4 linked regions of the Lepisosteus oculatus genome follow. The protein of the gene in region 1 interacts with the protein of each later gene in a biochemical or structural test. Links are inferred from orthologs where the notes say so. Each region holds a gene or a part of one and is shown on either strand. Other genes may lie near its edges.

Evidence for each region.
Region 2: the proteins of GTPase HRas (region 1) and ral guanine nucleotide dissociation stimulator form a complex in vitro, tested with the Homo sapiens proteins (4 studies listed by BioGRID and IntAct, with this or other methods). The link is inferred for Lepisosteus oculatus from reciprocal best matches to the Homo sapiens genes HRAS and RALGDS.
Region 3: the proteins of GTPase HRas (region 1) and rassf1 form a complex in vitro, tested with the Homo sapiens proteins (2 studies listed by BioGRID and IntAct, with this or other methods). The link is inferred for Lepisosteus oculatus from reciprocal best matches to the Homo sapiens genes HRAS and RASSF1.
Region 4: of the proteins of GTPase HRas (region 1) and lztr1, one has a biochemical effect on the other in vitro, tested with the Homo sapiens proteins (3 studies listed by BioGRID, with this or other methods). The link is inferred for Lepisosteus oculatus from reciprocal best matches to the Homo sapiens genes HRAS and LZTR1.

The regions. Positions count from the first base shown.
Region 1 is NC_090716.1:17,135,942-17,143,471, reverse strand, and holds the start of GTPase HRas, read left to right. Parts: upstream 1-4,515; 5' UTR 4,516-4,764; intron 4,765-7,530. UniProt on the Homo sapiens protein: Involved in the activation of Ras protein signal transduction. Ras proteins bind GDP/GTP and possess intrinsic GTPase activity.
Region 2 is NC_090719.1:15,006,276-15,013,545, reverse strand, and holds the start of ral guanine nucleotide dissociation stimulator, read left to right. Parts: upstream 1-4,253; 5' UTR 4,254-4,434; coding exon 4,435-4,620; intron 4,621-7,270. UniProt on the Homo sapiens protein: Functions as a guanine nucleotide exchange factor (GEF) activating either RalA or RalB GTPases and plays an important role in intracellular transport. Interacts and acts as an effector molecule for R-Ras, H-Ras, K-Ras, and Rap.
Region 3 is NC_090699.1:64,638,063-64,644,910, forward strand, and holds the start of rassf1 (ras association domain-containing protein 1), read right to left. Parts: upstream 3,018-6,848; 5' UTR 1,765-3,017; intron 496-1,764; exon of another isoform or gene 408-495; intron 1-407. Other genes in the region: zmynd10 (zinc finger MYND domain-containing protein 10), read right to left, coding at 4,295-4,394, 4,875-5,000, 5,921-6,042, 6,203-6,328. UniProt on the Homo sapiens protein: Potential tumor suppressor. Required for death receptor-dependent apoptosis. Mediates activation of STK3/MST2 and STK4/MST1 during Fas-induced apoptosis by preventing their dephosphorylation.
Region 4 is NC_090717.1:5,506,350-5,514,061, forward strand, and holds the start of lztr1 (leucine-zipper-like transcriptional regulator 1), read left to right. Parts: upstream 1-4,695; 5' UTR 4,696-5,037; coding exon 5,038-5,207; intron 5,208-5,595; coding exon 5,596-5,658; intron 5,659-5,739; coding exon 5,740-5,796; intron 5,797-5,961; coding exon 5,962-6,041; intron 6,042-6,500; coding exon 6,501-6,609; intron 6,610-7,307; coding exon 7,308-7,391; intron 7,392-7,493; coding exon 7,494-7,551; intron 7,552-7,712. Other genes in the region: cldn26 (putative claudin-24), read right to left, coding at 244-894. UniProt on the Homo sapiens protein: Substrate-specific adapter of a BCR (BTB-CUL3-RBX1) E3 ubiquitin-protein ligase complex that mediates ubiquitination of Ras (K-Ras/KRAS, N-Ras/NRAS and H-Ras/HRAS).

The DNA.
Region 1 (7,530 bases):
TGTCTAAGGAAGCATCCAGTTAGAGAAAAAGATTTAATTTAACTACTCTGGGGCAAAATATATAAATATTTTTGAAACTACACAGACTTTTTTAGATTTGTAGAAATCTTCACATCCCATGCCTCCAAAAAGGTAATGTACTAGAACTTTACTGTGTAACTTGCTAAGATAAACAAATGTTCAACAAATTTAGAGAGAGGGATCACTGTGAAATAACTAAAGATGTACTACACTTAAAATAATTAGTGACTTCATTCATGAAAAAATATGCATGCAATACTCCAGGTTTTGACAATACTAGTATAACACATAATCAAAGACTGACATAAACAATTGAGCTTAATAATATGTTTAAATCAGATGCTTTCTGAAAAACAGCTGTACTACACACTACACAAACAACAACTCATCTACATAAGACAGTGACTACCTCTGCAATAAGACACAGAAATTAGAAGAGAAGTTATTTTATCTTCAAATGATATGTTCATTTTGTGAACATAACACTGAGATTAATCATTCTTAGTCATCAAGAGTTCATTGCACGAAATATGGTACTAAAGGAAAACCGTAAGGACAAAGAGACTACAAAAATCTGGAAACATGTTCCTGCGGGTTGTCACAGTGGTGTTGTGGTTAGCTTTGCTGCCTCCCAACACTGGGGCCCTGTGTTCAATTCCTGGGATGCTATATGTGTGGAGTTTGCATGTTCTCCACAGTCATGTGGGTGTTCTCCAGGTGCTCAGGTTTCCTCTCACAGTCCCAAAGACATACTGGTAGGTTAATTGGCTTCTGGGAAACTGACCCTGGTGTGAGTGTGTGCATGTTTTTTTCTGTGGGTGACCTGTGGTGTCCCATCCAGGGTGTACCCTGTCGTGCACCGATTGCTTGCTGGGATAGGCTCTGGCTCTCCCGCAACCCTGAATTGGAGAAAATGGATGAATGTTCCTTTGAATTGTCACTTGAAAACAGTTCAGTTCAGTTCATCCTTTTTCACTGTATGGTGCAGGAGTTTCCAACCCCAGTCACAGACAGCACAAAACCAGCAAGTTGTGCGGGTAATCATTAAATAATCATTTTCCCTAAACTGGAACAGTTTTAGTTGTGATCAACTAAACGTGTGTTTTGTTAAATAAATTAATTAAGTGATTGCTTGAAGCAAAAATCAGAATACCCTTCAGCACAAAAGAAACTGAAGATTGCTGAACCGAAGAAGTGTTTAACTTATCAATTGTTTAAGTTGGTGTTCCTTATTTTTAAAAGGGAGAGCCTAAAGCCTTTAGATACTCGGTTTCTCCAATGATTTTTATAGCACTTCCAAAACAATGCTTTGAAAATGTAAAATGATTTGCACGGAAGACTCACTTTAACTTAACAGCCTTGGTTACAGCATGTTGAGCAAATTACATTCATGCACATCAGCGAAACCAGTCTGGGCATAAGACTTGGGGATCCAACTTTAAAAAAATCTTTTTGCGTCAGCTACTCTGTACGCCTGCCTGGTGACTGACTCGGCGTGCTGGTAACACAGTACTCTGAAGTTATCACTCTCGCTTGGTGATTGCATGCGTATCAAACCGCAACGTGCACATCACCTGAAAATTCACCTGCCAATCTGAAAACACAGAATCCTAAAATGTTCACACCAGGAGACATGAGTGATTACATACGCACACAACAGTTGCATATATAAGTACAATTACTTGAAACTCTTAATGATCAATTTAAGGCGATTAATAAACAGTGTACTGTTTGCTGGCGGGGATTATGTGTATGTTACAAGTTTATTAATGTTAACAGTAATCCACCAACAGCTGGAATCTATTCCTTTGTATAAATAAAATAAATCTTACCTTGTACAAGCGAATTAAGGCGAATGCATTTTATTCAGGTATCAGTTCAGCCTTAAAAGATGTGCGTACACATACATGTTAAACACACATAGTTTGGTTAGCAACGCGGAAAGGACTTCCTGGAGACAGAGGGGAGTGCCTAATGCATCCTGGGAGTTGTAGTTTTAAACTCAGCCCGTTCATCCTGCCCAAGCTAAGGATGCGCAAAACGATCTTCGATCTCAGGCTAACTAAATGGCAGTAATGTAAACTATAATCTTTGAACACTAATATGAGATACTGGGACACAAAGAAGAACAGAAAGCAGGAAATACTGGACTCCTGGAGCCTGGAGAAGCTCCGTGAAGCTGCCCCCCCCTACAGACAGCACAAACGATTAAACCTACCTCATTCGTTAGTGCTGCGTTTGTGCCGTTTTGTGTCGCTGTAAGTAGCGTTTGTGCTGCTTTCGTTTCCGAGATATAGCGCCTTGTTTTTCGTGACTATCTACAAGGAAATTTACAGGTACCAACAATATCAGTACTTGAACTTCTGATTGTGATTAAAACAATGGGGGCAATTTTTTTCCTTAGTCTGTCTGGTCGGGTGGGGTGGATGTTTCAATATATTTCAATACAGCGCCTTCTTTTCCTGGCTGTGAAGTAATTCCGTGACGTACAAAACACCAAAGTCACGTCCACCAGATCCTTCAGTTGTGATCTTTTGATCAGTTGACCACAGACTTTGCAGCCTTTACACGAATAAACAGTCTTACATTTAGAGGGGAGTTACTATGTTAGTTCATTGGGTTAGGTGTTTTCTTTTAATTTTTAACCAAGTTCTCGAAAATGTATTGCTTGTGTACTCCACCAGTTTCCAAATTACCGCTGGTACAGCATGAGAGCCCATATTCACATTTTTAGGAATTAGTTTCAAGATCGATATAATTTTAAAAAATAAAAACAAAATTGAAAGCACAAGTATAATAATATAATGATCGTAGATTTTACATTTCTATTCATTTTTGAAGTACAAAGAAGCAGGTGTTTCCCCCACCTTAAATATAAGAATAAAATTGTTCAAATACCATGTATTAATTACAGGAAGCAGCGGAGACAGTTATATTGCAAATAACAAATGTATTTATTTCTAAGAGTTGGGGACATTGTGAATCAATAAAGACGTTAAAAAATAAGCCAATGTAGTTATTTTGCAAATAAGTAAAGCATTTTAAAAACAGATTCGCATTGACAGTAACAAGCCGATCCACCCGGCGCTGCTGGCTTGAACAGCTCTCAGACCCGTGATTGGCTAAACCCCCGAACAGCTCGGGCCGCGATTGGGTGAAGAGTGAGAATCGACACTCTGATTGGGTGAAGCGCCACAGCGCATATGACATACCCCGACAAAACGCACGCCCCCATGTCGCGACATGTAGCCCGCATATCGCTATAACATACCCCGGCAAAAATGCCCCGCCCCATGTTGCGACATGAAAGGCCCTATGCTGTCGCAACACAACCTATCTGGGTATATCATGTCCTGATATGAGACCTTTGATGTGACAGCGGTATCAGGGTGGCATGGAAGCAAGGCGCCAGTCGTGATATACGCTGCCGCGATATACATGCGATATACATGGGGTCCCTGTCATGACATGCTGCGGCCTGGTATGACCTGTCGCGATGGTATCCCACAGTTACGTGTTTGGCAAGAGCGTGTCATGGTAGGGAAAGAAAAGAAAGACGTGCCTTATAAACCCCCCCTCCCCATAGATCTTACAATCACGGTGATTTTACGTACATTACTATACAGGGAATAATGGGTATTTTTCACATCAAAGGAGGCTCATATGTTTATGGATGCTGATCGCCTTTAAAATGTTAAGGAAACGAGCTAAACCGTAACAGGGCGCTTGAAGTCGGCAGAAGGGGGGTCACTGTATGGTCACATGATCACCGGAAAAACAAGGCGCTATATCTCGGGAACGAAAGCAGCACAAATGCTACGTTCAAGGGCACAAACCGGCATAAACGCATATAAACAAATAGCACTAACAAATGAGGTGGGTTTAATCGTTTTGCGCTGTCTGTAGGGGGGCATCTTCACGGAGCTGAAAAAAGATCATTACATTTCTCGCACCCAGGCAAGCAAAAAGGACCTCTTGTAATTTTTATGCTCGTAAACAGGAAAGTCTTGTTTTAAAGCTGATAAGTGTTTGACACGCAATTGCAAATCGTAAACAATACTTATTTAAACATTGACTAAATCATATTACCTAAATACATGCACATATTGTACACAACAGTTAACGCGATATATAACAGTATATTATTTAACGCGACTGCTGCTCCCGTCAGTGTTTATCTGACATGCATGTTAAGGGATGAACTATAAAAAAGCGTAAGCTCTCCAAAACTGTACCCTCCTCCTGCTTTCCTTTGCCTGCTGGATATGTCAGCTCGCAGAAGCTGCTTTAGTCGCGGACTGAACTGGACCGGGGACCCGACATGTGGCGTGAGGGCTTTAAACCCGGCACTGCTGCTGTCCCCGGGGCCGCCCCGAGAGCCGGCCCCGCCTCCCCTCGTCTCCCGCCCCGCCCCGCTCCCCGCCCGGCACGGCGAGCAGCCCGCCCGCGGAGCGCAGGAGGCGTGATTGATGAGCGGGCTGGGCTGGGCGGCGGCGCCGTGCGCACTCGGCACATTGCTCGGCAGCGGCGGAGCCCTTCCCCGGAGCAGCGGGAGAGCGCCTGGCGGCGGCGGGCATTGCCAGCACAGGCGGCGGACAGCAGCAGCGGCCGGGTCGGCGCGCAGAGAGAAGCACACCGGTCAGCCGTGCTCCGGCCGGAGGATCGCGAGTTTGTGCGCTGGACTGCGCTGTCTCTGAGAGGTCTGCACTGCTCCCACCGCTCGGGAGAGCGGGTTTTTTGTTGGTAAGCAAATATCGTGCCGCTTTCTCAGCTTTTGTAATCATTCTCTGCTCGCAGCTAACGAAGCTTCAGATAAACATTATTCATTGATGCGTGTGCGCGGTATTTTTTCCCCTGCGGTTCTCCGGGCGTTTGGAGAGCAGCGGATCCGCCAAAATCAAAACAGCCGCCCAGCTCTACCGAGGTATAAAAGGCGTCGTTTGCATCGCTCACCCCGCTGATGGTGGGTTTTTTTATTTGTAAGATGAGCTTTCCTTTTCTATTTCTTGCAACACACAAAATCGTGCGAGTTGTAAAACGGCTCAAAAAAGCGGCGGTTTTCCCGAAGTCAAGCTGCTGTTGACGCGATAAAGCGTCTGTCTCGGCTGTGCTCCCATTAACCTGCAGAGCGCACGGAGCCTGGAAACTTAGTGCAGGATCTGCTGCAGAGAGGCGAAGGGAAAACAGCCACCGGCTCTCGGAAAGATGCTGCTGCCCGTTTTCTCTTACGGTTTGTAGAAAGGGCTCAGGTGGTTAATTGCGGCGAAACATTTACAGTATTTGCTGGTTTCCAGTTTGCTGCTTCTTGACTGCGGCTCTTTGTGAATCAAGTCTGACTAGGGTGTCGCCCGCCACAGCAAAACTGAAACCTCATTGTAGCACTGCGGAAGTCACATTCCTCCACTCAACATCAGATATATTTAAAAAACAATAATTTTACTTTATTCGCATTTTTTATTCTTTAAAGGGTGCAGACTATTGCGTTGTTGACACAAAACCATTTGTAACGCGAAAGTGACGCCTCCCTGGTCGCGCTAATAACAAAGCAAAGCGGGAACCCGTTTGAAATCGATTATTGTTGCAGAGATTTATAGCAGCGCTTGTATATAAACACGGTACCTGAATGTCATAGCTGAATGCGCGTCGATATATTGTATTTTTCAAAGTGGATTCCTCAGAGAACCGGAAGCTCATTCCGATGTATAAATCTGGGCGAATCCTTCTTCTGACTAGATATATAATTTTACACTATTTAAGATCTTGGACGATTAATGCATGCTTCAGCTTTTTTAACACTTATCCACCTCATTATTGTCCTGGAAAAGACGGAGATAACACCGTGTTTTTGAAAATCTAGACACATTTTATTGGAGTTTATACTAGTCCCAGGCTTACTGAATTTAGTTACCGTATTCCACCACCAGTAAGAAATCGTTCTTTAAATTGCAAACTGGAACTCGGATTTCCTTTTTTAACAGTAAGGAACCTTGAAGAAGTTCCTTTCTCTTGCATAAAGAAACGTGCTATGATAAGACACACATCTGACATCACCCTGGTAAAAGCCAGTGTATTGGCTTAATGCACAGTATTGTGCTGTGTTTTAAGGCTCAAACCTCATTTTTAAAGCGTGCCAGAACAGCATGAGCAGTCGCACTTATTGAGGTAATGATTAAGAACAGTTTCCGGATTGGGGAAAAAACGTAGTTAAAATTAGTTTCGCATTAACAATTTGTTGAGGGTGAAAAAAGCGGTCGATAATCCCTGTGGTTTCCAGTTGCACGACGATGGACACAAATTGTGCTGTAGAGATCTTTCAGAAAGACGTCCTTATAACGCATGGCCACATAACGCCCTCAAATAAATTATCGACTTTTATTTAATAATAAATGATTAATATTCACAAAGAACTTTCAGGATTATTCCTCAGCGCTTTGTAAATTGACCGTCGCGATATCCTGGGAACCGAAGGTAGCCGACAGAAAGGGACTCAAACTCCTGACAAGTTTGGGTGCAGTGTGCTCTGAGCGCTCCAGATGGGACGTGGACATGCACCTCAATGGCAAAAATAGTTCGGTAATAATGGGCCCCATTGTTTTGAGTACAAAACTGAAACGGGACGGGAAGCCCATTTGCTCTTGTGGGTGCCAAGAGCTAAATGATATGAGGTTCCCATTCAGCTATTCCTTAAAAAAGCCAGGGTGTCAGCTTCATCTCCATCAGAGGGCAGCTTGTTCCATGCTCAGGCAACCCTTTGTGTAAAAATGTGCCTCCTCTTCTTTAAGTGCATTATCTCATAGTTTCCTCATCTGGTTCATGTTTTATGAAGTTCTGTTTCGGCCAAGCAAATGGTACAAATGCAAGCAGCCCCTGGGTTTTGCAGTTTTTTTGATAACATCCAGTACCATCTGATGTGTAGGATTCTGGGGATTCACTTTTCTTTATACTTGAAAAACTGGACACCCTACAGTAAAATAATTGATAATGGTTTGGCTAACCTTAAACCTTTTATCTTTCCAGTATACAAATCATTTTTTTGTCTCAGGAATGCTGCAGAGATGTAACTAAAGCTTATTGACAAGACTGGTGACCAGAAGAATCAATAGAAATGTAAGATAAGAGCGTTGAAGTAACTCACATTAACAGATTTTACAATAACTATTCTTAATTGTGTCTATGAAATAGAGAGTGACAGTCTCTGGTTCATTGTATTTGAAGGAAGTTCTTGTTCTGACACAGGTTTAAAGACACATGTGTTATTTATTGCCGTGCCCCCGAAGAACTGTGGTTTAATTTCCCATTCCTGATTTTTATTTCAGCCAAGCTTGATGACTTAATTGAAGCATTAGCTAAACTAACAAATCGCCTGATCAAAGTCTATACAAGTTTTTTCTACTAAAAAGTTTGGTATTTTATGTTGCTTATGAAATTAAGAGCAAAAAGGCCATCTCAAACATTTTTTAGAGCTGAAAACAGTCCAGCAGTTCAAATTAATGCTCCTGATTCAAGGGC
Region 2 (7,270 bases), on another chromosome or scaffold:
CCTTGATCTCATTCCAGGATTGCATTTCCCTTCTAAATGATATTTTAGGGGAATTTAATTTCTAGTTCCAATACAGCATGCAAATATTAATCATGATTAGAATCTTAGCTTTTTGGAAAATGTAATTTCAGACTATGTGTGTAGCATGTCTAGGAATGTGCAGATTATTAAGCCAGTGCTAGGATCTGTGTTATGGAAGACAGGTTTCCAGGAAGCCTAAATGCTGTAGGGCAGCACAGTAGCACAATAGTAGCATTGCTGCCTCACAGTACTGAGGCTCTGGGTTCAGTTCCTGGGGTACTATCTGCATGGAGTTTGTATGTTGTCTCCGTGTTCACATGGCTTTCCTGCTGGCGCCCTCTTTCCTCCTACGTGCTGGTAGGCGAATTGGTTTCTGGGAAAGCTGGCCCTGGTGCGAGTGTGTCTGTGTGTGTGTGTGTGTGTGTGTGTGTGTGCGCGTGCCCTGCGATGGACTGGCGTCCTGTCCAGGGTGTGTCCAGCCTTGTGCTTGTTGCTGGCCAGGATGGGCTCCAGCCCCCCTGTATTGGAAGAAGCAGTTAGAAAACGGATCGATGGAGAAGTACGGCCAGATTCGTTTTGTAGTCTCTGGATGAATATAAGGTATACGGATTATGAGTAGCAATCCTTTAGAAAACCAGTTACATGCTTGTGTTCCATTAATCGTGGCTTCCTGGGGGCACCAGAGAAGCACAGCAGCCCAGCTGTGTGCCTGTCCATTGGCAGAGAAAGGCATTGTAGTCTAGTCAGGTGGGGCGGCTTTCTCTACTCACAGCTGGCGCGACAGGAGGGAGCAGAACAAGAATGTAGGGTGGATGGGAAGTGGGATTCAAAGACCTGAAGGTCTGGTCTGGAGGTGAGAGGTACAGTAGTACAGTGTTCCTGCCGCAGCCTCTGGCATCAGGAAGCAGCCGGAGAGGAGTGCTGGGGCTCAGGCCCTCGGGCAGTCTCTGTCCCAGAAACGGAAACACTCTCGCCTGCCCGACGACACTGTGGGCCACTGCGGCGCTCCCCCGCGGCTCTGGGGTTTCCAAGCACTGCTCCAGGAACAAGAGGGCTCGTGAGGAGAGAAGGAAATATTTGCAAGGAAGGGCCCTGACGCCACCGGACCCACAGCGTGAAAGGCTGAAATACTGTAACGCACACACCCAGTAAGAAGAGGCAGCAATGCGATCGTCTGCCCTGCTGTGAAATGATACAAGACCTGAGAACAAGAACAAGAACAAGAACAATCAAAAGGAAACACTAAGCGTTCACGGAAATTGATGTTTCCAAAGCAGTAGTGTTTAGTAGAAACTTGTTTTCAAGTATGAAGAGCAGGATATTGATGACACTTTAAACATCGAGTCAATCTTGGAGAGATTTAAGGCAAAAAGACAGGGAAGGAGGATGGGGACGAGGCTGGTGGCAGGAGCCGGTACAGTCTGTGCAGCTGCGTTTCCGCGGAGCAGCTGCTGTAGAGTTCGCCGAGTGCCTGCCGTCACGGTGCACTAATCTCCCCCTCACTACTTCCTCCTCGGGAGAGGGGCAGAATACCACCAAATTAGCAAAACCGTCTTAGAAATCAAGTTACAGCAGCTGCACACGTGGGGCTGCCTTTCTCCTCCACAGATGTTCACCTCCACCCACTGGAGCCGGATTCGGAAGAAACGGAGGGGTGCACATCTTCTGGGGGTGTGGAATAACGGAGCCCCCGTTTTTGGTTCCAGTTTAAGCGTGTGGACTGGGCCCCGTGGTCTACAGATCTCTAGTTCCTGTCTTTGTTGTGTCTCGAGCTGACTGTGACTGGCAGTGAGCTTGGTGACCCCATCTGGCAGCCCTGTGGCCCCGCAGCTCCCAGCTGGCAGCCCGCTGAAGCCCAGCAGTGAGAGCCTGGCCAGTACCTGGAGGGGAGACCTACTGGGAGAGCTGAGGCTGCTGCTGGAAGAGGTGTTACTACTGTCTCTCAAATAAGGTCTTAAATAAAAACTTACATTTTGCCAGAATATTTTGAGAACTGCAAAGAACATCACTGGCACCAGTAAAACGTATATGTTCTACCCACCTCAGAATATTGAACTGAGGAAGACCTGCCTTCAAAAATTGTGACTCTGTTTTTCACATCACATCACTTTCAGTAACCACTTATCCCATTCAGAGTCACAGAGAGCCAGAGACTTATCAGGAAGCAACAGACACAAGGCAGGGTACACTGTGGACGGGACGCCAGTCCATCACAGGGCACACGCAGACACACACACACACTCGCCCCAGGGCTAGTTTCCCCAGAAGCCAATGAACCCACCAGTTTTTGGACTGTAGAAAGACACCGGAGCACCCAGAAAGGAAACCCTACATGAACATGAGGAGAACATGCAAGCTCCACACAAATCCCAAAATGAGCAGGTTGATTCCAGTTCAGTACTGTAGTGGGTAGATGGAGGAAACGCGACTTACAATATCAACATTATTAGTGTCTTGTAAATAAGGTCATTGGGAAAGAAACAGATTTATTTTATTTATAAGAGAGTCCTTTCATCGTGATGTAAAGGAGACAAAGCATCCTGCTAACCCCTCGTGACCACAGTGTGACTTTATACAGAACAATGACCAGAGAATGACTATACCCACAATATCCAGCTATTCTTAAAAGCTGACGGGTCATCTCCAGTCAACCCCTGGGTCTACTGTATATGAGCTGTGGACACTAGCAGCCGAAATGCCCATTCATTGCCCTGTAGCTGAAGCTGGTGCGTCAGCTTGCCATGGAGGTAGAACATTCACTGGTTACAAGCCAGACTGATCCCAGGATCATCCAAACAGTAAGTGAAAAAAAAACACAGATAATCAGCTTCAAAAACACGGGCGGGTAGCTTGTTCCAGACTCCCACCGGGTGTCCCTGGACAAGGGCGCAGGTGATAACAGCAGCCGCTGGACACGGGGGTGCTGCTTATTGGAGTGCGGGTGTTTTGTCCCTCGCCCTCCCTGTTCTCTTCCGAGTCCCATGTGCATATGTTGTCTGCAGTTGCGGTTTTTTTTTTCTTCTGCATTTCAGAAGACTGCCCGCTGGGTCAAATGAAGCTTCATTGCCCCTTATGGGTTCAGTGTAAAACACTCAGACCCCAGTTTGGCCCCAGTGCAGGAGCAGGATGGGAAATCGCACCCCTGCGATTGTTAAAATAAAGAAAGCGCGCACGTGATTAAAACCTGCTCTGATCTTAGCTTTCCCTTCTGTTGTACGTGGTGGGTGTTGGATTAGATGCCGCCAGAAAGCCACGTTTCAGATTCCCAGCACAGAGACATGCTAATCAAAGCTAGAGTTGCTGGCATTGAAAAAGCCCAGAAAAGGCAATTCTGCATTCGTAGAGAGAACGACTCCAACACGGGAACCTGCAATTCCGAGTAAAAGCCATTAATCTTGCATCCCACCCCCCCCCCGAAAAAACAAGGATCATCTCCTCTCCAGACCTAATCCCTTTTCCCAAATCAGTCGATACTTCCAGCACACAGAGTTTCAACACAGGTAATAAACTCAGGGCTGTTTTCAGTGCGCCCAGATTATGTCACTGGAGTAATCCCTCATAAATAAGAAATGTGCAAGCACTTGTGATGCAGCACAGTTAAAGGCGAGGAACAGCCCGTGCTGCTGTATAGCTCGTTTTAAACGGGTCTTTGACCGGTTTGAAGGAGCTGCCTGGCTGAGATGCGTTATCCCGAAGAGACCCCAGTTCTGCAGACAACGACCTTCCGTTTCTGGCACCACCCACGGCCACGGAGGAGAAAAACAGATCCCCCGCACTTCGGAGAAACGCGTGTCACGGAAAGAAAGCTCAGGGGAGGGTTTAGTGGAGACCATAATTATCCAGAAGCTTCGGCCACAGTACTTCCCACTGTTTATACGGTCAACAGAAAACACCGCGTCGCTGGGTCCCGAGAGGAGAGCCCATTCACGCTTTCGTGCCCGAACTGCTAGAAAACGACGCGCTGCCCCGTTTTTTTGTTTTAGAGTAAATGGGATGGGACGGGTTCGACCACGTTTAGCAGCGACACCATTCCCTTTGCACCAGGGTCCAGCTCATGAGAAATGGCTCTTTCCTCTCTCTCTCTCCCCCCCCCCGCTTCGCTCGGAACTTGTCGTCTGCTCGGGTCGAGAATGACGTCATGGATCCTCTGCCGGGCCGGGGGGAGGGAGGAGGGGGCGGGGACGGGGCGGGGCCTCCGCTCGGGAGGGGGCGGGGCGGGGCCAGCGCTAGAAAGTAGCAGCCGAGCAAGAACTACAGAGGCGAGAGAAGCAACAAGCGCAGCAATGCTCTTTTAGACGCCCCCGTCCGTCCGAGACAGGACTACGGCTTTCGCGGACACCCAGCCCCGTCGGACATGAAGCAGAGGGCGCGCAGTCTCGGGTCTTCTCCGGTGTAGCGGGATCCCCGTCACCAATGGTGTACCTGATGCAGTCCGAGGTGCACAGCGTCTGCTCGGGGAGCCCCGATATGATGTTTGATGCCAGCGCCTGGAGGATACGCAGCATCTGGGACGGGGTGAAGCTGGAGGTGGCCGGCGAGGCCAGCCCCGTGGTGCTGCACAGCTTCACTCAGCTGGACCCCGACCTGCCCCAGCCGGAGGTAAAGCGCTCCGACCTCCCTGGGAGGTGTGCTCCGTGAGAGCTGGCGCCGCTCAACATCGCTCAGTAACAGATTGCTTGAGATTCTGGGTTGTTTTTTTTTTATTTTAACGAGGGCTACGGCGAATTGCATACTACATTTACGAGCTGTGGGTTTGATCTGTGCTGGAGAAGCCAGGCAGGCGGGGTTCTCGGAAAATTGAATCCCGTGAGCTGTGGCTCTGCGTGAGAGAGGAGCTTTGCGCTGGGGGGGTTAGTGTTGTGTCTTTATCACCCACAGCGACCCCCACAGTGTTTGTAAATACGAAGGCTTTCTCGCCCCTTTGCTGGCACGGCTCTGGAGTAATGCGGGGTAATAAACCGGTGTCGGGGAATCTGTGGGTCGCGCCTGGGGTCGGTACAGTGTACAGCACACCGTGCCCTTGCCCAAAGTCCGATGTGGCTGCAATGTCAGAGGCTCAGAAATGTTAGTATGAGGTGTTCTGCTCCTATTGAGACGTGTTTCCGTTTCGGGTAGAAAATGCGTTTTTTTCCTCTCAGACGTTTCCGTGATTGTCAGAGGATAAATATGTACTCGAGACGAGTGCAGCACTGTACATTGCTGTGTAACGTGATCACCAGGCAGGCTTATTAAAAGGACATGGCAACAGAGGACATAACTGGGACTTCCAACGAGCTGGGAAGTTTACTCCCAGTTTTACTAGAAGTGCCGGTGCTCCCTCAAACTGTCTTCGGAAGCATGGTGGAATGTGACACGAGTTTCTTCCGTCAGTACAGTCGTGCAGCTGCTAGACACTGGCGAGGAGTTCGGTGTGTATTGTAGTGCTCTAGTCTTGAAGGGAAACAGCGCAGCCTGTTCTGGACTGAACTTCAGGATATCTGATTGGATATCCTGGTGTCATTGTGGTTTTGATTTGCAAGAGAGGTAGGGAACGGACACTGCGCACCTCACCCAGGGTGCGCCCTGCTTGGTGCCTGTTTCTTGCTGGGGTGGGCTCCGGCCCCCCATGACCCTGAATGGGATGGTAGAGACCGATACAGAAGGAGAGTTTACCCAGCAGTCGGGCGCGTTGTCCTTGCAATGCATCTTTGACTTTGACGCAATGTTATCCTGGTCACCTAGCTCTCTGATTGAATTAAATTTTAAACCTCACTATTCAGCGGTTGTGTTGCTTCATTGTGGGGCTGTTGCTAATTCCCATGTGTGGCACTAGGAGTGCCGGTGCCGTCTCCCTCTCTGGGGCTGCAGGTTTCGGACACTGTCTTCCTCTGTCAGCTGCCCCCATCCCAGCCTCGCAGTGTCCGATTGTCCGATGACTAATTCACCCACTCGGATTGCCTTGCAGTGATCCAATTCAGTATTCTGGGGGCTCTGCAGTAATTCAAAAGGCAAAATATTGGAAAAAGGCCTGGTTTTTTAGTCATCGTGGTGATTAGATTCAAGGGGCTGGAGTTCTCTTGCCACTTTACACTTCATTGTGCAGCAGGGTAATTTTTTACAAGCCATTGTCTTTGAGTGGCAGTCAAGAGTTAATGCGTGACCTGGCCTGTGTGCCCCTTCAGATATTTCTGAGCAATGTTGCGCCCTAATCTCTTTGCAAAAGCCTTTTATTAACTGTCGTGTTGAACATGGATTAACAGTGAAGGAGATCCTGTGATCCTGGTGGCTGCCTGGCAGATCTGAAGAAAACCAATCAAAAAACTCCACTGAAAAAAGATGATTGGATTCTCTTTGAATGGGCAATGTAGTGACACCCCTTGAAAAATCTAGGAATAGTTCACTTGACTATCCTGCTTTTATCTTGGCGCTGATAGCAGGTTTGCCATTGTCGTGCTGCTGATTTCTGCCAGGGATACCTGTGAGCCACCTGTGAGGGTTCAAATCTCATCATTTGTCCGCAAAGAAAGGTCTACATCTACAAGGCTGCACATATTTTTAATTCCACCTCCAATGACCCTCATTGTTATAAATATAAACCTCTTACACCTATTAGAAATATTACATTTAATTTCTTCTTAAAATACAGTTGTCAGTGCTCCTCTGTTTCATTTTGTTTCTATGCATGGAGTGGAAAAACAAGTGAATCTTTTCATCAAACATAATACAGTCTGTATTTGGTCTCTTTGAACTAATTGACCCCTACATCTCTCTCTTTATGGGGAAACAAATGCACTTTGTGACCCTCAACGATGTTGACATATCCTATTCATACTCATTCAGCACGTGGGGATTTCAGATCAGGAGTGGTCATTTTGTCTGTGTTTGAAGGATGCATTTTTGTACTGCCTAGTCCCTTTGATACAAGGGACACTCGGCAAAAATCTATATTCTCTAATAAGAGAAGTGAATAAATAATCTAATTTGCTTCTGTATTATGTAAAAAGCTTTTAAGATAAAAGGAGGACACGGGCAATAGGAGCAAAGACAGGCCTTATTATTGACCATCAAGCACATCGTCTAATGGGCTTCTGTTGTTCAAGCTAATCAATGGTTATGGCTGTTATTCATTTTAATTTAATTCTGAAAGGTTTATGTTCTGTCTCTGTTTATGCGACTGGTTTGGTACATTTTGGCTTTATATTTTCCCTGTATTGAGTGAGCTTCTTACATGAGCCTTGAGCGTCTGTCCTAGTGAGGAGCAGCTGGAGAA
Region 3 (6,848 bases), on another chromosome or scaffold:
TATTTATGCTTAACAGAATAACAAAAATTACAATACAAACGAGAGGACACATAACAATTCAAGACAAAAAGATAGTCAGGGGTGCATATTACTACATTAATTCAAGTTATGATTAAACAAATTAAATAAAAATAGGGTCCGCACCGCTTTCATATTTTTGCACTTTGAAATAGTCTGCAAATACCCCCTTACACCCATTTTAAAATGCCCAAAGGGTTCTTCTCAGGCCACTTCATGTTATGTATATAATAACGCGCCATTATAATCATTAAATTGATTACAAACGAAATTGTAATATTGTTTTCGATGGGGCTGAAACTTAACATAACATCTTTTTCATCCAAACAAATATCAATATTGGTTTCTTTTTTAATACGAGTCTGCAACTTAGTCCAGAAAATATTTACCCTGGGACATAACCAAAACAAGTGCTGAACAGGTCGAAGTTTAATCGCGCTCGCCCTGCTGATCTGTGCTCTGACGTCTCAGCGCCCCGCGGTGCCACCTGCGCGCCGCTCCGCTCACGGGAAACTCCGACTTGATCCGCGCGTCTTTCACGCGCCCCGCGCCCACGCCCACGCCCACGCCACCGGGAAGCCGAGAGCACAGAAGAGGGGGTGACAGTCCTCCAAGGGCCACGCACGCCCCACACTGGGGGGCGCCCATGGCTGAGCCTGTCCGAGCTGTACAAGTAGGACAAGCATGCTCACAAGCTGGTGCAAAAATAAACAACCGTTCAGTTTCGCCACTAGTATAAAAACGTATAGACGTTTATTCCCCAACACACACATTTTTAAAAATGCAAATTCAAAAAAAAAAAGCTTCCAACAGTGAATGTAAAGCCTCTATTGATGCACGGAGCCACCGCGCACTCTGGAGATTTTCGTTATCAGAGCTTCGACTATTTTATTTTAACCGCTTGGGTGCAATCCGGTTATTTTCTTCCGGACAGAAGCGGCCCCCTCCGTGGGAAACGCATTTTGAACGCCGCCAGGCGCATCCCAGATTTTTAAAGGGCAAGCGCAGATGCTGAAACATCCCCATCTCCCCGCCGTGCGGGCGGTATGAGGACCCCGGGACACCGCGCTGATAGATCGAGCTACACTTCGTTCATGTGAATTTTATCACGAGAGAAAAAAAAAAACCACTTTGTGGCGCTCACATTATTTTAAACTACGGGTCATAAATTTTTTTAAAAACTTTTTTTCTCTCCTCGCTGAGCGGGGTGTAAAACGCGAAAAGAAATCAATGATCCCTTCGGGAGGGAGGGAATCAGTTGGGTGAAGCTGCGGGACGTTATCTCACGATGCCTCCGGGAGCTGTCCCCATCTGGGGCATTCCTCAGGACAACACGCTGACCCGAAAATGCGGAACGACCACTTCTACTTTTCGGAATGAATCGCACTTCTGCTCCTCCCTGGAAAAAAAAAATCGTTTACGCTCGGATATAACGTTCTGTCTGGAGCTGTGATTTTTGGGGGATTTGCAACTGTACCTACAACCCTGACCGAAGTAAAACCCCGGCAACGTGCCCGCTTTCATAGTGTGAAGTCTTCAGCATCAGTTCAGACCTCTCTGTGCATCGCCTGCCCGAGACTAAGCCCGCTTGTTTTCAAGCGCTGGGTAACCCACGAACTTCCAACAGCCTTTTAAAAATATATATATTTCACCGTCGTGATTTGTAAAAAATTACACGTCGCGTTCACGTCGTCCTCGAAAAATAAATAATGCATGTAAAGATGTAAGCTGGGACACACCACTTACCAAGGCAAGACTCGATCTAGGTCACCGACACACAGGCGTGGCTACAGTGGAACAAAAACTGTTAAGTTTCAAACGCTGCAGCAATTTAAAATGCCCTTCGTGATCTGGAATACTAATCCTCCGTTATTATGTAAACAAAAAAGAGTTCGTGTTTGTCGCCGGCAACCTTGGAAGGACGCAATGGAGCAGAAGAAAAAAAGATAACAGTCGTCCACAGTTTGCCACAGATGTATTTTTATTCAACGCAGTCCATTTCCCCAGCTAACAAGAGAGAGCAAGCGAAGCGAGTTAACTCCTTAAACGCGTTTGCGACCACAGGCGCAGCTTGTCAGCGGCTACGCTGTAGCAGGACGAGCTTCTCGGTTTAAAACACCGCCAGGGAATTTTCAGAAAGTCTGGCAGCTTCATACGGTCCTTCGGTTGTCCACGCACTGTCTAGCTGGTGCTTGAAAGGAGGACAGAGAGTAATTGTCTTGAAACACGGAGAACGAACGGTTTTTCTCTCGCGAAAAGTAGATGCAAGCAGAAGAACGCTACACGAACGAAAGAGACCCTTTTTTTTCCCTCCGAAAGCTCTGCCCCCTTTTTCTGCCCGCGCTCATGTGATTTTATTTTCTCCTCCGTGCAGGACAGCCGAAAAAAAAAAAGTCGAAACCTTGCACGGACGAGCCCGGAGAGACAAGCAGCCGTCTTCATGTGCTCCAGCCCGGAGCTGGGCGCAGCTGTCGCGGCGGTCACACGGAGAGGCGAGGCGCGATCTGCCGGGCGCTGTTATGCTGGAAGGAATCCGCTGAAGTTTCCGTAGAGAGAGTGGGTTGAGGAGGTGTGGTGTCCCGTCTCAGCAACGTGTTGCGAAAGGGAAAAAAAAGCGAGAAGGGGGAACATTCAAAGCCTTCATGTGCGAGATACGGAGACCGCGCAGAGCCCGGTTGTTGGTGTCGACTGCAAGCCATCTGCAAAAGCAATGATGTTTCAAAGGGTTTTCCACGAGGTTCCACCTTAAGCATCAAGTCCTACTTTTCGTCCTGGGGTTGTACCCGAGGGTGGGCGCTGGGCACACGATCTGTACTTTTAACTATTCCCGGGCTGGTGCTGGTAACGGGTTTAGTCCTGCAACGTCTTACCGCTTACACGCTGAAACCAGCTATAATAAACGATTAGGGGTGTCAAATAAGTGTCAGCAAAAAGACCCAACACACACAACAAATTATAGCGAAAGACATCGCCCCGTCCGTATACTGTAATACTGGAATAAACACTGGCGGTCAGAAACGAAACAGATTTTTTTTGGAGGGAATGAGAACAACATTCAGGAAGATGCAAAAGTTAAATAACTTCCCCTGACTAGTGCATGAAAGTTATTTATTACTTGTCAATGTTAGAAGTTTCTTTTTACAGGGAGATGTTTTACAGGTAATCATGTTCCATTAGGGTGTAGTAAACACCAAACTGTACACATTGTAGTATCACAACATACACAAAGATATATACACAATCATGCTACACCATGGCCAAGGGATTCGGTGTAGAGCTCTTGTGTCCTCTGGTTGGTTCTGCAATCGCTGATGCTCCTCCCGAGACTATGAACAGTTCTTTCCAGATGTGCAAGAGTGAGGTAACACCATCGTTCTGCTTCCAGTGAGAGCAACGCACGCAGACACAATCAGACAAGTTTGTATTTCTAGGCCAGAGTTTCTGAAGAAGAGAAGATCTTGGACGAGCTTTTAATCTGAAATAGCAAACAGACAATAAACTACTGCCATTGGCCATCTAGTGGTTTCTGGCAGAGGGTGCAACAGCCTCTCCATCACTGCGCAAACATGGCCTTCGGTATATTACCCAGTTAAACCACTGAGAATCTTTTAGACAAATGGGTTGGATGGATGTTCTCCTCCCATTTCTTAACCGGTATGTCTGCCATGTGTCTACATGCTGACATCTGAGCAAGGAAGACGTGTGTATTAATCTTTAGAAGAGATGTCATGTACTGTATGTCACAAGCGAGCCAATGTTCCTGTCCTTTGACACGAGTAAGCAACAGACAGTTCCCATGTGGAAAGAATACAAATAACACATCTTGATCAGCCAAAGAGGGAGGGATATGTTGAACACCATGATATAGTAGATAATTGCACAGTGTCTGTTTAGCATTTAATCTTTGGCAGGGAGCCTTGGATCACAAGTAAAGCCCCAATTCTCTGCTGCAAAAACGCCCTCATTTGTTTTTATTTTTGTGAGCTTGTGGTTATTGTGCTACTGTGAGTTTACTAATAAATGTACAGCAATCAAAGCTATGTGACTTAGACACTATTAAAAGGAGTTTTAGCTGAAACCAGTGCAACAATAGATGAATTTTCTCAGAACACCAATAGCTGTCCAACGTCACCACTCATTTAGTTTTAGCACTGCACTGACATTGACAGTATATTGAAGGGCATGTCAGGCAGACTGCTGGGACCCTGTGCTTTAAAACCTCAGTTCAGTCTGGGCTGTCTTTCCTGTTAGACCCACTGCTGACTCTTCTCGAGTCCTACGGCTTGACGTCCAAGTCCCCCCGGAGTCTGTGAAGAGCTTCGGCCATCAGCTCACACGCTTGCTTGTGTTTCGGCCAGTGTTTCACCTGACATTCCCTGCAGGCAGACAAAACAGGTTAGCCTTGCGAGTCTAGAAAATACTAGGGGACCCAGATTAAAAGATTTCGGCCGGTGCCAATTCTAATTGCATTTGTTTTTTGTTGCAACAGACATGCAAGGGGGGGGGAGGGGAGGAAATAAAAAAAAACTCAGTGTTACAAAACCATGCAGTAGAAAAAAAGCCAAATTTTCTTTCTTCCTACTTTCTAAAATATTTTGAAGCAGGGATACAGCCACATAAGGTTGGCTGCCCACCCATTTTCATACTGTCCAATAATTATTTACAAACACTGAATGGAGTCTCACACTGCCGGAGGGTTTTGTCATGACTGTGGGCCTTCGTATTAAATGCTGACACCGTCACACTGGGTCCGCTGCAGCTGCTCTTCGTTCTGCACAGCACTCTGGGATTGTCTAGGCCCGCGGGCTGCTACAGGATGTGAACCCACTGCGCCTTCCCCCGACGGGGCGTCTCACCTGCGGCAGTACCACTCGCTCTGGCACCGGGAGCAGCGCTTGGCGGCCTCACAGCCACAGGAGCCGCACTTGGGTTTGTCAGGGATGAGGTTCTCCATGACATCCAGACTGTAGGTCTGGGCCAGCCTGACAGGAGAGAGAGGGCAAGGTGACGCGAGGAAGGACACATCTCTCTCTACCCACACCTCAGACGCCGCATCTTCGAGGTGAGTGGCTTCTCAAGGATTTTGCGCACTCCTCCAGATTTACATCATACAGTACTAAGGGACAAGTTATAGGTTTATTCCATGCTGAAAAAAAGAAGAAAGAGAACACAACGTTTCGGCCGTGGAGCCTTCTTCAGGTGTGAGAGAGACAGGGAGTGACTGCCCTGTCTCTCTCACACCTGAAGAAGGCTCCACGGCCGAAACATTGTGTTCTCTTTCTTCTTTTTTTCAGCAGGGAATAAACCTATAACTTGTTCCTTTGCAGCCTACGCATGCTGACGCAGCTACCCACCTGAACTAATACAGTACTAAGGCTTTTTTTAAGCAGCCCTTAATAAATACAAATGTCCTTAATGGGGTAAGAAATACAGTGCCTGGGAGAATAAAGTAAGCATCTGTGTCATATTTTGACTTGATCATTAAATACTACATGTGGCTCTGAAAGGGGAAGTAGTTGTGTTTCAGAATATTTCCAGATATTTAGTAAGCAAGCTGTGCCAGGGGGTAAATTGGTCAAGAGAGCACATGCCTTTATCCCAATTAACACCGCTCCCCACCACCACCATCACCACCACAATGAACAGCTTTGTTACTAAACATTCTTCTTTCAGACCCAAATCAAGTGTTTAAGGAGAAAGCCTTATCACACAAGTACCTGCTGATGCCCTTTCTTACACATGAGACAAATGCTTTGATTGTACTTTTATTCTGCTAGGGCACTACCCCCTATAGATCTCAGTGGCAGGTCACAGTTATATGCTGCTGCATAAACTGAGGCATGTTTGTGTAGGCCGCACTCTCCCTCTGCAAAGTCCTCACACTCCTGCCCCTCTGCCTTACCTGTGTGCCTGTTGCCTCAGGTCCTCTTCAGAGGGGCTGAATGCTTGCTTCACTTGGTACTTAGCAATGGCCTTCCACTTCCCAGAGTTCTCTTTCATAATATTATTCCACATTTCCGGGATCTACAGATCAAGGCATGGTGAAATAAAAAAAGAACAGGCAAGGAAGAAACATCACCGCGATTTAAAGAACACAGTAGGTGAAGTGATGCCTTCTTGTCAAGCAGAAAGGAGTCACTCACTTGCTTGGTAGGGGACTAGTTCTTATAATGCGGTGCTTTACCTGTTCCAGAATGAGGTCCTTCTTAGGGGGTGCGGGGTCAGTGATGGCCAGCTGGCTGAGGAAGCGCTGGAGCTCGGCCAGATTGGGCAGCTGGTCAATCAGTACCTCGGTCAGGAAGCCACGGAGCTGGGAATACACTCACAAACATCAGGATCGGGCCAAAACAGGTCCTGCGCTTACAGTAACCAGAGCACAACACACAGCAGCCACTATCTGCGCTTGCCTGAAGCGAACTGCATCACACATGGCTGCTCTGCTCACTTAGCTACACCACGGCTCACCATGTGTCAGAATTTATATCATTTTGTGTTGGAGAGTATTTAACTGAATGTGATTCTGAAGATGTATTAAATACTGTATATATACTCATATAAATATACCTGTGTATACACCGCAGGTGAGAGCCGGTGGAAGGCAAAAACATATACCAGGCCAGTGAAAGGAAGATGTTGTACATGAGGGGATTTTCAGAATGACCACGTTTTTATCACCATTTATACTAAAACCAAACCACAGAAAGCATGTTTTTAAGACTAGGGTATATTGAAACGAGCAGGCACCCTGATCACTATATAACAATAATTTCTATAAGCTCATGAGCTTTTTGAATCATTTAAAAAATGAAAAAAGTAAAATTGAATTCACA
Region 4 (7,712 bases), on another chromosome or scaffold:
TCCAGTAAAAAGAGTTCGGGAGCACCACACTGGAAATTCAACATTTTGGCTGAAATTAATTTCTTAAACCTAACTAGAAATAGTTGTAAAGAATAAAATAAGACTTCCTGACACATCTTAAACAGGTCTGCTTACGTTCTTTTTACTTCCTCTTGATTCCACACACCATTACTTAAATGTTAAGCTAGGTCCCCCTTCCCCTTAAACAGAAATATACGATAAGAGCAGATAATAAAATCCAGACTATAACACCTCTGTCTTTAAGTATTGCGGTTTCTTTTGGGTTGTCATGCTGGATGAGAGCACTTGTGAGTGGATGTTGTTTCTCATGCAGAGCGACACGAACAAGAACGACCCTCCAAGAACAAGAAACAGCCCAGAGAACCATCCTGCAAAAAGAGCCTCCCCAAACTCCCACCGGGGAACGATTTCAGGAACGTTGTCATCCCAGAATTCCACCACAGTCACATAAGCCACCAAGGAGATGGGATAAAGTGTAGTGATCCCCGAAATCCAGGACAGCACCCCTCCAAGGATGAGGAGCTTCTTCTTGACGTGCTCTTTGCCCTCTCCCAGATTTATGCCCTCCAGTCCAAAAAAGGCCACAGAGACACTCAGGAGCCCTGTTCCCATGGAAAAGATCATCAAGACCCTGGAAGCTATGACACCTGAGGGCAGAGACAGAAAGGAGTCAAAGGCTTTGCACTGCAGACCCACTTCGTCTTGGAAAATGCAGGTGTGCCACAGCCCCTCGTACCAGTTCTCCATTTCATTGAGCTCCGCGTTGAGGGTTTTCCAAAGAGGCAGAAAAGTGACCACACAGGTTATGACAAAGCCCACGAAGGAGACAAAAAAAGCCATCCTCTCCACTAGTTTGGAAGTCAACAACACCATTGTCTATCAGTTCAGCTCCAGTCTAGAGAACAGCTTGTGAGCTGCAGCAAGCACAGGCTCTGCAGTGGTAATGACCTGGTAGGGCTCCTAATCAAGTACCTTATAAATGCACCTTATAAATGCTGGGTAATCCCTAAGCTTGAGCATAACAACAGACATACTGTTTTGTAAAAGCGATAAATATCATTATAGGGAACAATGAGCACTGTTTTAGATGAAACCAGATATGTCCAAGAGAGAACGGACGGCAGTGCACACACAAGATGTTTTCAAGGCAAAGGAAACATGATCAAGTAAAGAATGGGGAAACTCAAAGAAAGTTGTGGGGAACGAATTGGTCTAAAACGTCAACATATAGGCTGTAAGTCATTTCATGTAGATCTTGTGTTATGAACTAATACTCATTAAAAAGGTTTAATTAGTGAATTAAATGGTATAATGTGTTTTACAGATTATACTGATAGCTACTGCTGAAGGTTCAGATTACAAGCCTTTCTATTAAACAAAAAACTAACGTCTCAGCTGTCCTCTGGATTAATGGTAAAACCTGATACAAAAACTGTGACGCCAAGTACTCCTGATATTTTTTATATTGTAGTATGCTATTACAGTATGACCTGTAATGTCTCCATTCAGACCACACATTTGCTTTTCGAGCCAAAACTTAGTGCATAATTTTTTGAGGCAAGCTTCCGAAATCAGATACTTTTAAGGATAACTATATCGGCTGCTCATACAATGAAGATTTATTGTACTCATACTATTATTTCGTTCTTCATAATGTCTTCGATTCCCCTCCCTCCCTTCAAAAGAGCGTAATTCTAGGTTTCAATCTTAAACAGCTGGTAAAACACTGTATAGTCTGCCACAATAATAGTCTGTTATCTATGTTCATTGAAACGGTTATACAGGGAAAACGTTGTCTCTAGCTCCCTCGTATGGCTTTTGGGAGTTTCATTTTTGCCCTTTTTTGCAACTATTTAACTTGTGTTTAATTGCTGTTTCTCTTAGTATTAGATTTTCTTGAGACAGACTTTGGGGTGGAACTGGATAATTAATTTCCAAAGGCTAGATGTCTAGATGTCTCCTGAATTTTATCAGATTTGTTGAGAGTACTTCTTCCCATTCTTCTTAAAACAATTAGATGAGTTCATCCATTTTTTGTTACATTTTCAAGGTTATTACTAAAATTATAATAAGGCATATTACTTTAGCCTTGTACTTAAATGGCAAATTTTCAACTGAGGTTATTTAGTGTAACTTTATCTCACTATGATATATGAGGAAACTGAAGCTGCTGAAAGGCACTGACTAGTTTCTGCTCAGAAAGGTCAAAGATTAATCTAGTCGTCTATCTTATTTTAAGCTCTATGATCACTCAGCATGAGGACCATTTTCTCTTAAAATACTTGTTTGCAGATATAAGATCACTTAAGATACGATTACTTTATTGGCCATATGCAATTTCTTGTATTAGGAATTTGTCTTTCCGCATACCCCAACTTGCTCTCCATGAGACACACAGACAGAGAGAGAAGCTTGGGGTCAGGGCGCAGGGTCAGCCATTTATACAGCGCCTGTCAGGTGTGCCAAGGGAAAAGGGTAGGAAAATTGACCCTGTGCGGAGGCAGAGAGAGAAAAAACTGGATTCCTTAGGCGAACGTAATCCAAATCGGGAGGCTAGAGCGAGGACAGAGATCAGGAGCAAGGGGTCAGAAATCCAGGTGATCACAAGAACAACGAGAGGTCGGACTAAGTTGCGAATAGGACGTGTAGCTTTGGCTGAGGAAACCTCAATAGTGAGAGAGGACAAGTTGCAGAGTGGGAGTTTAAGTAGCCAAAGATGAGCGAAGTTGATTAGTAATCGGATGCCCGTGGGAATGCAACGATGTCTGTGTGCGGTTTGTGACAGCACCCCTGAAGCACTTGGGGTTAAAGGCCTCGCTCAGGGGCCCAACGGAGTAGGATTCCTCTACTGGCCGTGGGATTCGAACCAGCAACCTTCCAGCCACAAGCACAGATCCTTAGCCACAGAACCACCGCTTTAATATGTTGGTGATTCAGAGCTTGTTTCCAAAGTCATACTTAATCTTGCACTTTGGGATTTGCTATGAAGTGAAGAAGTTGGTAAGGGGTCTGAGACATAAAAGGTCTAGAGGTCTTGCAGATTGTCATTGTTTATAAAAGGTGTCGGTTTGTTGTTGACTACTGTTCTGCATACTGAGCACATCTTCCTAGCACTTTGACATGCAAACCTATGTACAGAGCGTTCATGATGGCCATGATGGCATCTTATTGTCTAGCCTAATCATGCATTAATGTGCAGATTGCCTAGTTTGGTAATGTGCTTCTAGGCTGTTCTCCAAAATTAGCTTGGCAGTCCTGTGTGTCCAAGCATTCTCCTCTCAAAGATCTCATTCTGCATCATTTCGCATTGCATTGACCACACAACTGACCCTGGGAGTAAGGTTGACCTAATAGCACAACATTTTATCAATGTCAGTTAAGACCAACCGCTCTGCCCCTCCATCATTCAAACACGATTTGAGCATCCTTATTTTCATTCATTATTATCAAGTTTTGGTTTGGTTCTTTTTGGTAAATATACTTACTTAATTTTTTTTTTTGGAAAACTATCTTGACATGATCTGCTTAAGTTTTTTATCTCTCCTACCACTGATATTCCCGTGTGAGTGCCTCGTTTCATCCTTGCACACTGTGGTGAGGGGAGTGCTTCCCGGGTTAGACAGCACTAATCTAATTATGCATGTGCAGAACTAGATCGCCTATACTCTTTGAACTCAGGATAAAGATAATGCTGTGCTTCACTCACAAGTTTCTGAGGTTTTCTCTGTGGGAATTACGCTCCTGTCACACTGATCCATGCATGACAAGAAAAAAGCAAAAGCATGACAGCAAAAAACAGATCGGTAACACTATAAACATATTTGCAAAAAAAAATGTATTTACCATCCTGAATAACAAAACAACCATGCGGTGTCAATGCTTTAGAATAGGCAAAAAAGTGTAAGGGGATTGTTCATATCTAAATGGTGGTTTCACATTTTTTTCATTTTTTTTCTTTTGAGTAATTGATTTGCTCTGCCTGTTTATACCGTCTGTGCAATAAGAGCGTCCTTATCTTATAGCGGGAATAAGTACTTGTAACAAAATTATGACTATTACAAGAGGCTCATTATCTTTCCTGTCAATCGTCAGTAACAGTGACTGATACTGGAAGAGAGTTGATTCGTAAAAGATGACTCTTAAAATGACTCTACAGCCTTCATCTGTTCGCTATCTATTTGCCTTCAATGCAAATAGCAATTCTTCAGAGAAACAAATAATTAAGTCTAAATTTAATTTTAAACACATCACACTGAAAATGGTGGATACGTTTTAGCTTCAGCTGTTTTTCTGAAAAAAAAAACAGTATTTTACAGATGGGAGTTGTTTTACTTTTCTACGTATCAACTAGATTTAATGTTTATGTATTCAGCGTTCGATCATTAAACGAAAGCAACCTAATACATTAAGCTCTTCAAGTAGCATCTTCCCTGCAAAAGTAACACGTAAGATGCTACTTGAAGTTTATCAATGACAATTACATGCCTTCTCCGAATTCGACTTGCTCCCAGTGTGCATTGGACTTTGCCAGCTAACCGAATTGATTTCTGGGGTTTGTTGTCGTTTATTGTTTAGTCTACGCATCAATTGCAAATGGAACTTGAGACACATAAACTACAATACCCAGGGATCTCTTTTTCGCAAGAGGTGTGGCGTGGTAGTGTAATGGCTGTTTATTTGGTGTGTGTTGCGTGTTTTTCTTTTCTGCTACATTTGTAACGTTTTTTCCAGTAAAATAATGTAGCGTTTGCTACATTGTTCCGAAGGACTTGCTTCGTTTTTGTATTTACTTTTACCAGTCAAACAAGTTACATTCGTCTTGATTTTCTACTTAAAGTCAGCTTTAATTTTTTTTTTTTGCTTTTTGGTGCAGTGGTGCATCGCAGAAACCACTGTGTCTTGTAGACGTGGTCCCTAAAACTACGTTTATGAAGGGACCTTCGCTAGCACGACAGTAAATCCGTTTTTAATACTGGGGTTTCATTGACTGACCGTGTCGTGTTATGCGGCGGTTGAATGTCATGGTTTCCGGGAACAATGTCTTGCAAGTCTAAAGTCGCCCCGAGTGTTGATTTTGACCACAGCTGCTCGGACAGTGTCGAATACCTGACCCTGAACTTTGGGCCGATTGAGACCGTCCATCGCTGGAGGAGACTCCCACCCTGTGATGAGTTTGTGGGTGCTAGGTAAAACAAAATACAACTTTCTGTAAATCCTGTAGGTGCAGATCTTATTAAATGTCTAACGGTGCGGTTGCACTCTCACGCAGACCTCACAGAGATATGTTCGTAAAAAAAAATGTTTTTTTTAAGTATGGAGATTTGCTTTTGAACTGCAAAACCGTCATGTGCATGTGATTTCCGAAAGCTTCGCGAGTCTTGTTTTACACGGATTTTGATATGTGCATTATGATGTCAGTGGTGTATTTGAACGTACAGTGCTGTAAGATTTTTAAATTATATTCAGAGCTCATATCAGTTTTCTTTACTACATTTTACTGCAATGCTGCACCGCGTCTTAACTGAGTACAGTACCGTGTAATCATTCCGGGCTTTCGCTTCTGAATTTTGACAGGCGCAGTAAGCACACAGTTGTGGCCTACAAGGATGCAATTTACGTGTTCGGAGGAGACAATGGGTGGGTGATATTTAATGTGTCGTAATTTTAGCATGCGACTTGGGTGAAAGCAAGTATGAACATTTGTTTCGTTCCCAACAGAAAGAACATGCTGAATGATCTGTTGCGGTTTGATGTCAAGGACTGCTCCTGGTGCAGGTAATCCCTGCTTCTCCATTCCAGGAGAATGCGTTTATACACCGTTTATGTCAACAGATAACTTTTTTTCCCCCCTCCACGATGAACTTTATGACCCATTTTATTTTAAAGTGGCTTTTGGGTCTGCATCTTGGTTTGGTCATTTGTTTTTCTTCTTCTTGCCAGGGCTTTTACGACTGGTTCACCCCCTGCTCCCAGATATCACCATTCAGCTGTAGTACATGGAAGCAGCATGTTTGTTTTTGGTGAGGCAGCTTACCCCTCTATCACAGTTTATATGTTCATGATGCAGTATTGACGAGGCATAATTAAGGCAAAATGTGTTTCATGGGGGATTTAGTGGCACAGTGAGATCAGTTATGGACCTGGGAGGGCTGTCTGCATGATGTTTGTCTGTTCTGTCCCATGTTTGTGTGGGTTTCCTTCCACAATCCAGCAACATACTGGTAGGCTAATTGGCTTCTGAGGAAACTGGCCCCAAATGCGAGAGTCTTTCTGTCCTGCGATGTCTGTGTCCAGGGTGTCCCCTGCCTTGCTCCTGCTTGCCAGCATTATTGGAAGCAGTTAGAAGATGGATATTTGTTTCATTATTATGGTTGTTAAACAAAAAGCGTTTCCATGTCACACGGCTGTCTTATTAATAAACGTATTTGCCTTTTCTTCTGGTGCTGGTGATGCGTAACCGTACGGTCTCAAATTTCCAGGTGGCTACACTGGGGACATCTACTCCAACTCCAACCTGAAGAATAAAAATGATCTTTTTGAGTACAAGTTTGCTACAGGCCAGTGGACGGAATGGAAGGTAGAGGGAAGGTACAGTAGTACATCAGTTCAAAACTGTTATAAATGGAGCTCAAAATGAGCGTTTGGGAGGGAAGACAACATCGAAGGTCTGTCAACCTCAGCTGTACATCATTTGTAGTCAAACCTGACATCATTTTCTTTCATAAAGACTATAACTATTAGATGTAACCTGTTACTCTGCTTTGCAAACGTTTTTACATCCCCTCTCCACTGCATCTCCACCTGTGTTGCTGCCCCTTGGGGCCCCACTCCTCACTCTGCAAGGGGTTCCAGCTTCCTTGTGGCCAGGAGGTCAGCAAGCCAGGTTAAGCCGAATTGTGATGAAGACACTCTGGAGATGTTTCACACACTTAATTCCTGGGTGTTGTTGTTCCTCGTGAATGTATTTTCCGTGCAGTGTTATCAATCATTGTTCTGTTGATGTGTGTTCCCTCAAAGCCAGCTTTTTTTCTTTACATCAGCATAGCATTAAGGCATTCAGAGTTAGATACAAGAATGAAGTAATTGTTACCTTTAATGAGGCATGTAATTCTTGGCCAGATCAAAAAATCATCTTCATAAGAGAGAAAAACAATCGGGTTTTCATACATTGATTTAAGAAAGTAAACTAGTCATGCATTTTTATTTTGCCTTGCATAGAAGCTGAAGAGAGCATAATTCTGTTGTGTTTCTGAAACAGTATCACCTCTCTGGTTTCCTTTCTGCAGGTTGCCTGTTGCCAGATCAGCTCACGGAGCAACAGTGTACAGTGATAAACTCTGGATTTTTGCTGGGTATGATGGTAATGCAAGGTAAATAATTTTCATCTTGTCTTAGACCATTCGCGATAATTCTGTTTATAATATCTTTGTTTTTTTAAGGCATACACTAATTTATTTCTTGTAATACTCCAGGCTAAGTGACATGTGGACGATCAGCCTTCAGGACCGTGAGCAAGCATGCTGGGAAGAGGTTAGTTTGACATAAAGTGCTATTTTTTGTCCAATAATGTGTACAAAAATAAAGTGAAAGTGTAGATTTTGTTCATTACGGTAAAATGCCAGCGATTTAAGAGGAAACAATAAAACTGTTCATTCTATTGACTCTCTTGGCTCCGTTAAAGATTTTGTAAA